Struthio camelus: one gene and its partner. The protein of the gene in region 1 interacts with the protein of each later gene in a pairwise test. Links are inferred from orthologs where the notes say so. Each region holds a gene or a part of one and is shown in the gene's direction. Other genes may lie near its edges.

Region 1 (7,061 bases):
GGCAGACCTTGTCATAGCGAGCAGGCTTTTTGCTTTGTTTCAGAAGTACTAACATATGAACAGATTACAGAAATTAGGCAGTTGTTTTCCTATGTCAGAGGAGAAAAGGCTCAAATGTTATTTTCAGTTTCTGGCGTGCTTAGCTTAAAGTAAATCATAAAGAAAGCAAGGAATCATAAGAAGTGGTAGGTAGCGCATACTGTTTTTCACTACTGTAGCATTAGCAATATACTAGGAGCTGAAAATAAGCCATACTTGATTAGGTACATATACTTGGGAATGATATCAGTATCTGAGCATTACTGAGAGTTTTTGTCATTGAGAGATGTGTGGTTTGTGTAAGACAGATCAGAGTTACAGGTCTGTTGAATATCTGTAATGACAGGCAGAAAATGGCCTTCTCTATCAACCAACATAACTCTCAAGTATGCACACAATAATGAAGTATTTCTTCTTAATATTGATCATTCCATTTCAAGCACCAAGTAACATCAGATAAAGAAAATATACATGTATTTATTTGTTTGCAGGATCTATGTGGATGCTCTTAACCCCACTCTACTCCCTGCTCTGCTCCCCTCCCCACCCCTCTCTGCTCAGGTGTAAGCATAAAGATATATGCATATCTGAAAGAATCAGAAAGCATCTGTGATATTTCACAGAGGATCCGATAGCTCTTCTTAAGTAAAAGTGTATCTCCAAGTCACTAGGTCACAGTAGCACTCAAGAAGAGGCACCTCAGGAAGGGCCTCCGACATAGCTACAGTTGGCAGATTCACCACTTTCACTATTCCGCCTGGAAGGGAAAGATTTGGACATAAATATTTTCAGTTCTTGTGGTCTTTAGGTTATGTCAGTAGCCCTTATCAGTAAGATAAGTCATCAATAAGACAGTCTTTGGATAAATGCACTTTTACACATCTTTCAAAGTCCCTAAAACTCAGGGACATCACGTGGATTTCTGATGTTCCTTGGCAGGCTCTGAATCCACAAATTAATGAGTGGATTATTGTGATTCATATGCCACTTTCATTTTTGGCAGGTAACACTAGTGGTATTGGAGGATGATTACTTGAATGAGATCTGCACCCACTTTCCTCAAATCAGCACTCTGAAAAAACTCAGTGATAAAATGTAGCTGTCAGCATAAATACATGCATAAATACAATATATGAACACATATTCTGTAGAGAGTTTTGGCTGTACAGTTCCAGACTTCAGGGATGAGCAGATGCGTACGACTTTCTACAGTTCTTGTAGAAGGCTGGGCAAGCAAACATCTGTGGTGGACATTGAGGAAGAGGAAATTTCAACGTGTCAGTAATAGGAAAGTTACATTGTACACCTGCTTTTTTAGGCATGCCATCTGTGCTCAGTCATACCATAATATAGCTTTGATGGCATGCCACAACTAAAGGGCAGGCAGTATACTTGCTTCATTGACATGAATGACAACTTTATAAAACACACTGCTTAATGATATAAATCATAACTTTCAAACACAATATATAGTTATCCTGAATGTTTTCCAATGTTTAGACCTATGCTAATTATTTTCATACTGAAAGCACTGTCGAAGCATTAGAGTGAAAACCAGTGCACACTAGGTAAGCAATAGCACCTTATCTATACTAATACTGAACTTCACAGTATATTTTGTTGGCCTGTAATTACCCCATGACATCCAGTGAATATTGTTTACCATCACCTAATAATAAGCAATTCTGATTCCATTACTGCACACAATCTCATATTAAGTTTCTTCTTTCCAAAGTAAACTGCCTGTGAAGTTCAAAGGTATCACTACGTTTTCTAAAAATCTGGATAAATATTTTATGTAGAAAAGGAAATGTGACCTCAAAAATTTGTATTTTCATTAATACATAAAATCATTGGGGAAAAAAAAGGTTTATATTAGAATTCTTTCTTAAAGAGGCATTTTCCGTAGTGTACTTTGGCGTCTTTAAGTGGTAGCATGATCTAAATCCATAATTCAGTTCCAGTCCTGGATCTACTCTTCAATCCATGTGTGGCCTCAGTCAAAATGTATTAAATTTTCCTGTTTCAGTTTCCCTGACTCTAAAGTGGGAATAACATGACTAACCCAAATAGCTTAGTTGCAATTTATAAGATTGAATAACTTGATGATTGGATTTCTGAGACATGAAACATGATTACTATTAGGATTCAATGACCAACCAGGCAGAAGAGTGTGATACAAATACAGGAGATGGGTCTTTGACTACAGAAAACGTGACAACCAGTCAGTCAGTGAGGAGGAAGCTCTAAGGAATGGTTAGCTGTACTTGTAAAAGTGTGAAAGTTCCCATTGCACTTTCTTTTTAGCATCCCATACTACCTAAAGATCGTAAAAAGCTAAGCCCTCTCCAAGAAATGAACAGGTCCAAAACACTACATGCAAAGAAATTTTTATCTGCGTAACAGAGCTAGGTATTGTTTTCTAGTGGAAATGTCAGAATTGATTAAAGGCTTGGCATTTCTATTTAAAATCAGCCAGTGCATGATACATTTTAAAGGGAGAAAAATATAGAGGCCAAATAACATGGAGATAACAGGCTAAATTAACTTCTACTGCTGCTGCAGTAACTTGGTAGCCAATGTATTGGGGCCAAATTTATAAATGGGAGTGCCTCATAATAACTATGAGAAAGTATTCTTCCTGCCAGCAAAGTCAATATTATTAATTGTTATTACCATTATTAACCTTTGGGCTTGTGTATCCTCCGTGGATTAATGATTATTCAATAACTGTGTTACAAGGCTGCACTTTCTAATACCAATTAATAGAAGAGCATACCACTGGTTTACTAGGAAAAGTGTTGACGTATCAACTTCACAGTGTCAGTCTTGTTTGTAAGACATGTAAAGGTGCCTACATGAATTGCATTTGTCAATTCCCAGAGCTGAAAGATGAAATCTGCCACAAAGTCAAAATAAATAAAAAAGGAGATCGGGCTGACATCCAGGGTCCCCTCTCTTCTCAGGCTCCTAGGGAATAAGAAACAGCCTCAGCTTTCAGGGAAACCTGCCCTCACTGCCAGGTTCACTCTCCAGGAACTCCACTTCCAAACTGTGCATCAGCGAAGAAGGGAAGGAAGGTCTTAAAAACAAAAGAACAGAGGAAAAAGTCCCTCCCCAAGGAGAAATTAAACGGAAAAAAAAAAAAGAGAATTCCGAAACAGCGGTACTGTGGAGCACGTCGTGCCAGGTGAAACATCAGGCGAGGGAACCGCGGGTGAAGCGCGGCGGCACCCGGCCCCGCTGCCGCTGCCGGCCCCGACGGCGCGGCCCCGCTGCCGCCCGGCTCGGGCGGGTCGCCACCACCGCGGCGCGGCCCCTCCGCAGGCTGCCGGCCCTCGCCCCGCAGCCCCCCGCCGCCTGCGCGGCCGCGGAGCTGCGCGCCGTCAGAGCCGGTCCTGCGCCGCCGCCGCTCGCCGCAGCAGCGCGGTGCCATCCCGGCCCGAAACGGCCCCGCCGGCGCGGCCTTCCCGCGGGGGCAGCCGCGGGCGGGAATGAAGCAGCGGAGGGAGGAAGGAGGGAAGGGAAAGCGGTGGGGCCGCGGTGCTCCGCGGGGGGCTCCGACCTTTCTCGCTGCTCTGTGTGTGTGTGTGTGTGTGTGTGTGTGTGTCCTACCTGGCTCCCTGCGCGGCGGAGGGGGCGGCGGGGACACACACACACACACACACCCCCCACCTCTCGCACTCCCACCGAGTCAGCGAGCAGAGAGGAGGAGGCACCACACACACACACACAAAAACGCGGCTCGCCCCCCACTCCGCTGCCGCGCAGGGCGGCGCGCAGCCCCCCCCCCCCGCCCCAACCCAGGCTCCCCGCGCCCGCGCTGCCCCGACGGCACCGCCGCCCCCTCCCCCGGGGGCACCGCACCCCGCCCGAGGGCGCCGTGCGCGGCGGCCGGGAGGGGAGCGCGCACACACGCACACGCGCGCGCAGGCAGAGCTGCCCCACGCCGGTACCTGCTGCCCTGGTGTTTTCCGTCCGGGCTCCTCCTCGCTCAGGCAGCTCGGGAGGGGAGCCGAGCGGGCAGGCGCGCGTGTGCGTGCGCGCGTGTGCGTGTGCGTGTGTGTGCGTGTGTGTGTGTGTGTGTGCGCGAGAGAGAGACACAGAGAGAGACACAGAGAGAGAGAGAGAGAGAGAGAGAGAGAGAGAGAGAGAGAGACTCTCCCCCTTCCCCCCTCCCCCTCCTCCTCCTCGCTCTCCTTCCTTTAAACGCCCACTCCCGATGGGTGAACAGACAACTTGAACTTCAGTGCAATTAACTTCGCCGGCGCCTCGGAAGCCGGAGGTGTCGCCGGCCTCGCCCGCCGCGCTCCCATGCGTGAGTCGCTCCCCGCTCCTCGGCCTCTCTGGGGGGAGGGAGGGAAGGAGGTGGGGGGGGAATGGGGGGGGGCAGACGGGGCAGCGCAGCGCGGGGGGCACAAGCCGCGGAGGCGGGCGCGGGCGCGCAGGGCCGGCGCCGGCAGCGCGGGGGACGGCGGGGAGGCTCCGCGACGGGGCGCCGCTGCCCGCCCGCCGCCCGGCCGCGCACCTGCCGCCGCCGCCCCGCGGGGGCGAGAGGGAGGACAAAAAAAAAAAAAAAACCACGAGCCGTCCGAAAAGTTTGGCAAACTTCTCGCGCGGCCCCGCGCGCCTCCCCGACGCGGGGCACCGCGGCCGGCGGCGCCCGGGAGAGCGCGGGGCGAGGAAGGCGGGAGGGGGGGAGGGAGCCGTCGTGGGCCGCGGGCGCGGCGAGGCCGCCGGGCGCCAGCGCGGAGCTGCGCGCTCCCCCGCGGCGCGGCGCGGTGCGGTGCGGAGGTGCGGGGGGCCGCAGCAGCCCCAGCGCCTCCCCCACAACCCCGTCCGTGCTCCGCGCTTTTATTCTGATTTTTTCCGCTCCGCCGGCAAAACCGCCGCCCGAGGTTGTGCCCCCGTCGCCGTCCTTTTGCCGGCGTCTCCGGCCGCTGCCCGGGCGGAGCGCTCCTGACAGGCGGCACCTGCCCGGTTTTAAGTTTTCCTTTGCCAGGCTCCAGGCTTCGCTGCCTGCTGGAGAAACTTCGCTAAAACGCAAGTTCGCTGAAACACTTCGCACCAGCTCCTAAGCTGAAATGCGTTTAAAATGACGAAAGCTCGCCATCGGTTTTTGTTCGCTCCAACGGAGTGCGGTGCTTCCGTGAAAATAACTCACAAATTCAGATTCACAGACTCTAAGGCGTATGATCTAGCAGGACCCTTTCCTTGCAGTCCCTGCTTCTTGGGTGTGAGTTAGCAGCCGTCCCTTATTTCTACTTTATATTATTTTGGTATAGTACATTCATATATTTGTCTGCTGTAGTCTGCTGGCAAACATTAGCATTCAAGCTTACATTTTTGACAAATGTGCAGACAGGAATAGCATGAATAGGCATCTTAAATATTAACAACCTAAGCATCTGTTGTGAAACAAATTTAATATATTTACTCTGTTTTTCTCACATTGTTAGAAAAGGTTACAATAAGTGTAAAATTTCAACTTTAGTTAGCACAAGGAATGCTTGGATATTTCACTATCTCTTCAAGCATTTAACACACTCACTAGATAGAAATGTGTCAAATCAGGCGCACTATTCAAAAAACAACTTGCAACAGTAAGCATAGAGTGTAAAGGCATGAATGTAGGATGTTCTCTGTAATTTGTATCATCTCATTACTCTGCAGCACTGTTTGTAGAATTTTAGAGTGCTCTTTTCAATCCCGTGTTCCTATATGCTTTTTAATACATTTACGCATACGCTCATTTTCCATTTCATTTTCCATTTCAGATTGTTGTTGGTATTACCTTGCTTTTCAAGTCGAAGTAATGATTTGTGCAGAAATGTGTAATCACGTAGAGTAGGTAACAAAAAGAGCAAGCAGAAGAGGTAACGTGTGCAAGTGTAAGTGTGCATCTGAACAGATAGCACACACACATTATAAGGCAATAGAAGAAAAATTAAAATCGTTGGTTAATATGCTATATATGCCCACTCTTGAATACAAACAGCTAGTGGAAAAGAAACAACTGGCTCCAAGGAATTCCTCCTTCCCTGGAATAAGACTATTCTGAGTAGAACAAGAACAAGAGTAAAGTTTCCAAAAAGCCTGTAGAGTTATTTCAGGAATCAGTGCATTCCTTCTCTTTTTCCCACAAGTTCAAATATGTAATAAATAAGTCCTTTGTATGCAAAAGAGTTTACTGGAACAAAAAATATTTAAATGGAATGCTTTTTGTGCGTACACTTTAAAAAAGTAGCAGTTTCCTTTTTAGACTCTTTCTTGTTGATGCTTTAAATAGGAAAGTAACTATCACAGTTTCTGTTTCTGGACTCCTGTTATTTTAGCGATATGCATAAATCCTAACCTGCTCCGTACCCCTGAGAAAGCTATAAAGCAGATAAAAGTCGGTCTGTGGCTCACTAATGGCACATGCTGTTTTGCGCGAGAGAGAAACAGAGAGGATCTATCTCAGCAGCCCAAATCTGCATTTGAGGAGGGTCCCATTGGGCTCTGCAGCGTAGGCCCCAGAGGTCAGCCGGGCGGCACCTGCCTTGATTGCTGCAGCTCTTTTGGGACTCCCAAATGGTGCCATCCGCTGCCCCGTAAGCATCCGACGGGTGCCCGAACGCCAAATCCTCCGGGGAACGTGGGCACACTCACCCCTTCGTCGCAACAGCATCTGGAGGGTAGGAAAGTCTTGAACGCGCACCAACTTACGCTGCATTTCTGGTTTTGGGTGGAGAGGGGTTTAGAAGCGTGCGACTGCAGTTTAGAAAATGAAGCTGGGGTATTTTGGCGTTCTTGAAAAAACAAATGTTTTAACAATCAAATATTGTGTCAGCTACTCAATTTTTAGAAGTACTTCTATTGTCACCTGTTTTTTAATCTGAGTGTCATAGATAAATTTGAAGTCCTTCTTAAGGTTTCCAGCTGTATTTGGAGAAAAAGCCAAGCAGATTCCTCTATTTATTAACAAAATAGATTGCAGTATATTGAAAAAATGTCATTAAAAGCAGATTTATGAATTTAAA
Region 2 (7,185 bases), on another chromosome or scaffold:
CCACTGCTCTGTGGAGCGGGCACTGCAGCAGAGCCAAGACCATGCCGACAGCCTGGGTGGCCCTGCAGGTGGCTCGCCCCATCCCCGCTGCACTGCACTCTGAGTTCCCGATGGGAAAAGTATTGCCAGGGGCACCACAGCTCTGCCCTTGGCTGCCCATGGCTTGGAAATGTGGTGCATTGAGCCTTCGCGGGTCGTTTCTTCTCCCGCCAGCAGGGAAAGGAGCTGGTTGTCCTGGGGATGCCGAGATGCAGGTAAAGCCAGCAGCCACTTCCCTGCGCGATGCACCCGTGGCCTCCGACTCCTGTTCAACGCACGCCGTGGCTTGCTCCCACGTGTCCCAGGCGGCCCCAGCTTGCAACAGCACAGACGACAGCGAGGAGGAGGAGGAGGAGGAGGAAGGCTGTGACGCGGAGGAGTGGCGGTGCCGCTGCGAAGCCGAGCGGGCCAAGGTCCTGCAGCTGGAGCAGCAGCTGGTGACAAAGGTGCGGGAGTGCGAGTGGCTCTCGGCCGCCCGTCGGACAACAGCGCGCAGCCTCTGGCAGCGGGTGCGAGAGCTGGAGCAGCTGCTGCTGGGGACAAAGAGTGAAGCCGGGACAGAGCCGGAGGATGACTATTGCCTGACCCTCCTGGCCGAGCACCTGCGGGAGCTGAGGAGGAGGAAGGAGGAGGCGGCAGGAGGCTTGGCGGCACCGGAGGAAGAGGAGGAGCGGCAGCAAGGTGAGCCAGAGCGGGAGGATGCGTGCAGGAGGCTACGGGAGCTCGAGGACCACTCAGAAAACCCACCAGCCACGATCGCCGCCGCCGAGCAGGCCCAGCTTGACGGGGACGAGCAGCGGCTGTGGGCACCTCTGGCACTGTTCCTCTCCTGGCTGGAGGAAACCTGCACCAAACTGCGGGCGGAGAAGCTCACCGTCTTCACCAGGAGCAAGGGACTGAGGAAGGAGGTGGAGGAAGCTTTGAGGAGCAAACTGCATTATGAGGTGGTGTCGGCCGACGCCGTCCGGAAAAGCCTGGCGGCCTGGGAGAAGCTGGCACTGGGGCTGGAGCAGGCGCTGAGCCACGCCGACGAGAGTCATGCCGAGCTGCTGCGGAGATCCCGGCCCCTCCTGGAGACCCTCCGGGCCCTGCAGAGTCAGCGGGAGCTGGAGGAGCCGCTCGACGGGGCAGCGCCTTCCCGCTCGCCAGAGAACGGCAGGGCCAAGCCAGAGGAAGTGAATCCAAGCCAGGCAGAAAAAAGCCAGAGCCAAGCACGCACGCTGGAGAGAGAGGCCGAAGAGCGGCCGCGGGCCAGGAGCTCCAAGTTGGAGAAGGAGGTGCTGGAGCTCAAGGAGAGCAACGGAAGGCTCCTGGGCGAGCTGGCCCAGCTGGGCCGGGAGCGTGAGCGGCTGCAGGAAGAGCTGCGTGGGCTGCGAGAGCGGGACGCCAGTGCGGCGGCGGCCACCGAGGGGCCTGGGCAGCGGGCAGCCGCCCTGGCCCGGGCGCTGGAGGCCGAGCAGGAGGAGACGACACGGCTGAGACGGCGGCTGGCGGCACAGCGGCGGGAGCTGGCGGTGCTGCGAGACAGCCTGGGCGCCCAGGCCCAGGAAGAGGCCGGCAACCAGCTCCCTGGCGCCTGCATCCTCCAGGAGCTGCACTGCAAGCTGGACGGGCTGGTGAGGACGCAGCACGAGGCCTTGCAACTCGTGTCGCAGATGGAAGGCGAAGGCGAGGCACTCGGGGATGCCCCGCGGCCGCCGGGTGAAAGAGACCCCCGCGGTCGCTGGGACGAGGACGGCGGAGACGGGCCAGCCGCAGGGGCCGCGCTGCGCTCCCGCGAGGAGATGACCCCAGACATCCCAGAGGGCAGCCGGGCGCTGCGGCGGGAGCTGGAGGCAGCCAGCGCTGAGGCCGCGCGCTGGGCCGAGGCTGCGGCTGCCGAGAGGAGGGCGAAGGAGGAGCTGGAGGTGCGGGCAGCCGAGCGGGAGCAGGAGGCACGGGAGCTGCAGGTGACATCGCGGGGGCTAGAGAGGAGCGTGGAGAAGCTCAGCGCCAAAGTGGGTGAGCTCGCCAGGGCCTGCCAGGACAAGGAGGGGAAGGTAAGAGTCAGGGCCCACACACAAGGCTAACAGGAGGAGGCAGCCCCTTCCCATCACCATCCCCTTGCCATCGGTATGTCCTTGCCATCGTTATGTCCTTCCCATCGCCGTTCCCATCACCATCACTTGCCCATCACCGTCCCCTTCTCATTCTCTCCTTCCCATTGCCATCCCTTTCCCATTGCCATCCCTTTCCCATCATAATCTCTTTCCCTGCCCATCAATATCCCCTTCCCATCATCATCCCCTTCCCATAGTCATCACCTTCCCGTTCCCATCATTATCCCCTTCCCAACACCATCTCCTTCCCATCACCGTCCCCTTCCCATTGCCATCACCTGCCCGCCAACATCCCCTTCCCATCACCATCCCCTCCTCCTTCCCAACACCATCCTTTTCCCACCATCATCCCCTTCCCATCGCTATCTCCTCCTGATAAAGCCAACCTGATCCATGGAAATGCCTAACACCCAGCAGGAGCGAGAATTTCCCGTTGTGCAAAAAGATCTCAAAGCGCCCATTTCTCAGCCAACTTTGGGGGGGGGGGGGCAGGCAGGAGGGTTGAGACAACTCCCGGGGGTAGCAGCGGGGCAGGAGCCAGCCCCCCGTTTTTCCCCGTCGGCTCCCAACTCTGCTCCCTGCTGCCTGACGCCAGATCAAGCAGCTGCTGGCGGAGATGGAGAAGCTCTCAGCGGAGGTGCTGGCAGTCCGCAGCGAGAGCGTCCGGCTGCAGCTCCGGCTGGAGGTGGGTCCCCGGCACCCGGCATCGCCCGCCAGCATTGCCTGGCATCGCCCACCGGCATCGCCCACCGGCATTGCCCCGGCTCTGCTTCCAACCTCCTTTTTTCCCACCAGCTCCAGCAGAAAAACCACCAGGACATCGTCACCATCTACAGAACCCACTTGCTCAACGCCGCCCAGGTAGGAGTCGGAGGCATCTCTGCCCTGGAGGGTGTTTTGGGCTGAAATGCTGCAAAATGCAATTTTTAGCCAGCGCTGGAGGCTGGGACGGAGTCTGGGTGCAGCGGGTCCCGGCTGAGCTTTGCTCCGGCAGGGGTTCATGGACGAGGTGGTGCACGGCATGCTGCTGCGGATCCTGCGGACGGGGGACGCCTGACGCCGCCGGGACGGATCCCGCACGTGCCCCGAAGCCATTAAACGGGAAAAGCTGCTCTGCGTGTGCTGCCTTCCTCCGGAACGGGATGGGGATGGGGACGGGGATGGGGACGGGGATGGGGGGGCCGGGGGGACCAGGGCGGCTGCACCCACCACCTAGCGCCGGGGGCATAGGGCACCCTGGGGGTGGCGGGGCTGGGTGGCCCCCTGGCCCCAGGACTAGTTAGTGGTACTGGTCAGGCCCTGGGCAGGACTAACCAGTGGGACTGGTGAGGCCCCAGCCCCAGGACAGAACTAGTTAGTGGTGCTAGTCAGTCCCCAGGCCAGGACTAGTTAGCAGTGCCGGTCACCCCCGGGCAGGACTAGTTAGCGGTGCCAGTCATCCCAGGCCAGGACTAGTTAGCAGTGCCAGTCACCCCTGGGGAGGTCTAGTTAGCGGTGCCGGTCAATCCCCAGGCCAGGACTAGTTAGCGGTGCCGGTCAGTCCCCAGGCCAGGACTAGTTAGCGGTGCCAGTCACCCCTGGGGAGGTCTAGTTAGTGGTGCCGGTCAATCCCCAGGCCAGGACTAGTTAGCGGTGCCAGTCACCCCTGGGCAGGACTAGTTAGCGGTGCCAGTCACCCCAAGCCAGGACTAGTTAGCGGTGCCAGTCACCCCTGGGGAGGTCTAGTTAGCGGTGCCGGTCAGTCCCCAGGCCAGAACTAGTTAGCGGTGCCGGTCACCCCCGGGCAGGACTAGTTAGCGGTGCCGGTCGCCCCGGGCAGGACTAGTTAGCGGTGCCAGTCACCCCTGGGGAGGTCTAGTTAGCGGTGCCAGTCAGTCCCCAGGCCAGGACTAGTTAGCGGTGCCGGTCGCCCCCGGACATGACTAGTTAGCGGTGCCGGTCGCCCCGGGCAGGACCACTCGGCGGCGGGGCGGAGTTGCGCGACGCTCCCTGCCCGCCCCCCCTCCCCCGCGCGCCGTGCGGCTGCGGCCGGGCGCGGAGTTTGCCTCGGCCCCTGGCGCGCGGCTGCCATGTCCCAAGATGGCGGAGGCGGCAGAGCTGAAGGTGCCGCGGGGGGGCCGCGGGGCCGGGCTGCGGCGGTGTGGGGTGGGGTGGGGGTGCCGGGCGGGGAGGCTTGGGGGTGAGGCATTCTGGGGGTGCGAGAGGGACAGCGGTGGCCGTGTGGGGCCAGGGGGCTGGAAGGCTGGAGCCGGGGGGCAGGAGCCGAGAGGCTGTGGGGCAGGAGCAGGAGCCAGGACCCGGGGGGCTGTGGGGCAGGAGCAGGGGCCAGGACCCGGGGGCTGTGGGGCAGGACCCAGGGGACTTTGGGGCAGGGGCAGGGGCCAGGCCCTGGGGGGGCTATGGGGCAGGACTCGGGGGGCTGTGAGGCAGGAGCAGGGACTAGGACCCGGGGGGCTGTGGGGCAGGAACTAGGGGCCTGTGGGGCAGGAGCAGGGGCCAGGACCCAGGGGACTGTGGGGCAGGGGCCGGGACCCGGGGGGGCTATGGGGCAGGACCCAGGGGACTGCGGGGCAGTGGCAGGAGCAGGGGCCAGGACCCAGGGGCTGTGGGGCAGGAGTAGGGGCCAGGAACCGGGGGATTGTGAGACAGGGGCAGGGGCCAGGACCCGGGGTGGCTATGGGGCAGAACCCAGGGGACTGTGGGGCAGAAGCAGGGGCCAGGACCCGGGAGGCTGGGGCAGGAACTAGGAGGGCTGTGGGGCAGGAGCAGGGGCCAGGAACCGGGGGCTATGGGGCGGGGGCTGAGTAGTAGGAGCGGGGAGGGGCTGTGGGGCAGGGACCAGGCGTAGGAACCAGGGGGGCTGTGGGGTAGGCAGCGGGGCAGGACCCAGGGGTGCTGTGGGGCAGGACCCGGGGGGCTGTGGGCCAGGAGCAGGGGCCAGGAACAGGGGGCTGTGGGGCAGGAGCAGGGGGGCAGCGGAGCAGGGCTGAGTGGAAGAAGCAGGGGGGCTGTGGGGCAGGAACCAGGTGTAGGAACCAGGGGGGGCTGTGGGGTAGGGCTGCGGGGCAGGAACCAGAGGGGCTGTGGGGCAGGTCCAGGGAGCTGTGGACCAGGGCTAGGGGGCAGGACCATGGGGCAGGGCAGGGGGGACTATGGGGTAGGAGCAGGGGGCAGCGGGGCTGGCAGAATGAGGGGCCGGATGCTGAGGCTCGCCCCAGGCTCAGGGCTCAGGCAATGCGTGGGGCTGGGGGAAGGGTTGGGGGGGTGGAGTAGGGTGATATGCTGGACTGTGGGGCAGCAGGGCTGCAGGTCCTGCGGGGTGGGGATGAAGAGCTGGGGGCTGGGGGGGGGGGCAGAGGGCTCAGCCGTGGGGGTCTACAGTGGAGCGGGGGCGTCCGAAGGGGTGCAGAGGGAGAGCGGGCAACGCCGGGGGAAGAGGCGGATGGACAGACGGGGACGGACGAGGAAACCGTGGGGCTGAGCGGCAAGGGGGCTGGGGCCAGGGCGGCGGGGGGCTGCGGAGGCAGGCGCAGAGACCGCCCGGGCGAGAGGGTCACGTAGGAAAGGGGGTCGGGTTTTGGACGTCGGCACGCTGAGCGGCGGATGAGGCTGCTGAATCAGGCAGCGACCTCCCGTGCTGTTTGCAAAGAGGAGGGGGCTGGAAGATTTTGGGGGGCTCAGGCGTGCGACGGAGGTTCAGAGAAAAGAAGTAGAAACCTGAAGGAAGGGAGAGCCAAGAAACGGAGCAGTTCAGACCCTCGAATGAGGTAGGGGAGTGCGGAGAGCGCAGAAAATAACCGGTAGGCTGGAGAGGGGATGAAGCTTGAGGCAGATCTTGGGGCAAGACGATGGTATAGCGGGCCGGGGAGCTGCGAGATGCTCCTGGGGTTTCGTAGGGGAGGAGGGAGCGGAGAGCGTGTAACATGGTAGTGCTGCACCAGTGCTCACAGCTGGATGGGGTTTCATCTCCCTCCACTCTCTTTTTCTCGTTTTTAGGAGTCAGAGTGTGTAACCACCTTTGCCCACCAGACTGTGGAATATGAAATTGCCCCTGGTAACTAATTCCAAAGCTGATTTGTGTCCTTGTTGGCGTTTAATATTTTTTCCCACAGGCTGGAATATAGATCTTAGCTGGCTGAAGTGGCCTAAGAGTCCTGCCCCCTTCCCTCTGCTGGGAATAGTAAGACATTTGGGAACTGGCACCTTCTTGGCAGCCAGCCACAGCAAGAACATAATTCTCTGGAGCTAGTATGTGTCTGTAATCTTTCCAGCAGCGGCCCGTCCAAATTTTGATACTGCTTTATGGTGTGATTGTTCTCCTTCCCCTAAAACTCTGTGTGACCTAAGCATGACTACAATGGGAGCCCTATCAAGTGTCAAAATGTTAACAGTATTTGTGGAGAAATTGGATCCGATAATTGTAATTGGGTGAATTGGAACAGCGCAGAACTTGAGCTCCAGAAATGCTTTTTATTTGTGCCGTTTCCCAGCATTCCAGGCAAGGTGTTAATGGCAAAAAGACCCACGTCCCCAGGCTCAGGTGAATGAACGCAGGGGCGCAGGCCCTGGTCCCGCTTTGACCCGCTGTTGCGTTCAGCAGGATGCATGTAAACGGTGCTGCTGCCCTCAGTGTGGCTACTCATCATATGCACTATAAAATAGCACATGCGTAATCCTGCAGTTTCAGGCCATAGCTAGCAAATGGCAAAGCTGAGTGCAACATACAGAGGGCAAAGTGGGTGTAATGTCCTTGGCATTTTCCACTCTGTTCCCTCTGCAGATAAATCACTGCAGAGGAATTGTGTTTTAAGGAGAGATGAAGCTTAGCGCATAGGTTTACATTCTCTGAGGTTTGGCCCACCTCTGAGATCCTCTAGTGGTCTTCCAGACTTCAGCCCTTTCTCTGGAGCCTGGCATTATTCAAGGCTCTCTTCAGTTTATTTTTAAATCTGTGCTCCCTTCCGGCAACTGAATTCTCTTGTCCATCTCCCCTAAGCCCTTTTTAGTTTACTAGCCAGGAGTTTAAGATTTTTACCATCTGTATCTC

What was found.
Region 2: the proteins of SATB1 (region 1) and PIAS3 interact in a two-hybrid assay, tested with the Homo sapiens proteins (2 studies listed by BioGRID and IntAct). The link is inferred for Struthio camelus from reciprocal best matches to the Homo sapiens genes SATB1 and PIAS3.

The regions. Positions count from the first base shown.
Region 1 is NC_090943.1:42,032,002-42,039,062, reverse strand, and holds the start of SATB1 (DNA-binding protein SATB1), read left to right. Parts: upstream 1-3,969; 5' UTR 3,970-4,353; coding exon of another isoform or gene 4,354-4,357; intron 4,358-6,485; exon of another isoform or gene 6,486-6,716; intron 6,717-7,061. UniProt on the Homo sapiens protein: Crucial silencing factor contributing to the initiation of X inactivation mediated by Xist RNA that occurs during embryogenesis and in lymphoma.
Region 2 is NC_090971.1:3,179,939-3,187,123, reverse strand, and holds the start of PIAS3 (E3 SUMO-protein ligase PIAS3), read left to right. Parts: upstream 1-4,155; 5' UTR 4,156-4,217; coding exon 4,218-4,241; intron 4,242-5,787; exon of another isoform or gene 5,788-5,905; intron 5,906-6,134; exon of another isoform or gene 6,135-6,177; coding exon of another isoform or gene 6,178-6,192; intron 6,193-7,185. Other genes in the region: ANKRD35 (ankyrin repeat domain-containing protein 35), read left to right, coding at 214-1,463, 1,500-2,078, 2,734-2,823, 2,934-2,999, 3,133-3,195. UniProt on the Homo sapiens protein: Functions as an E3-type small ubiquitin-like modifier (SUMO) ligase, stabilizing the interaction between UBE2I and the substrate, and as a SUMO-tethering factor.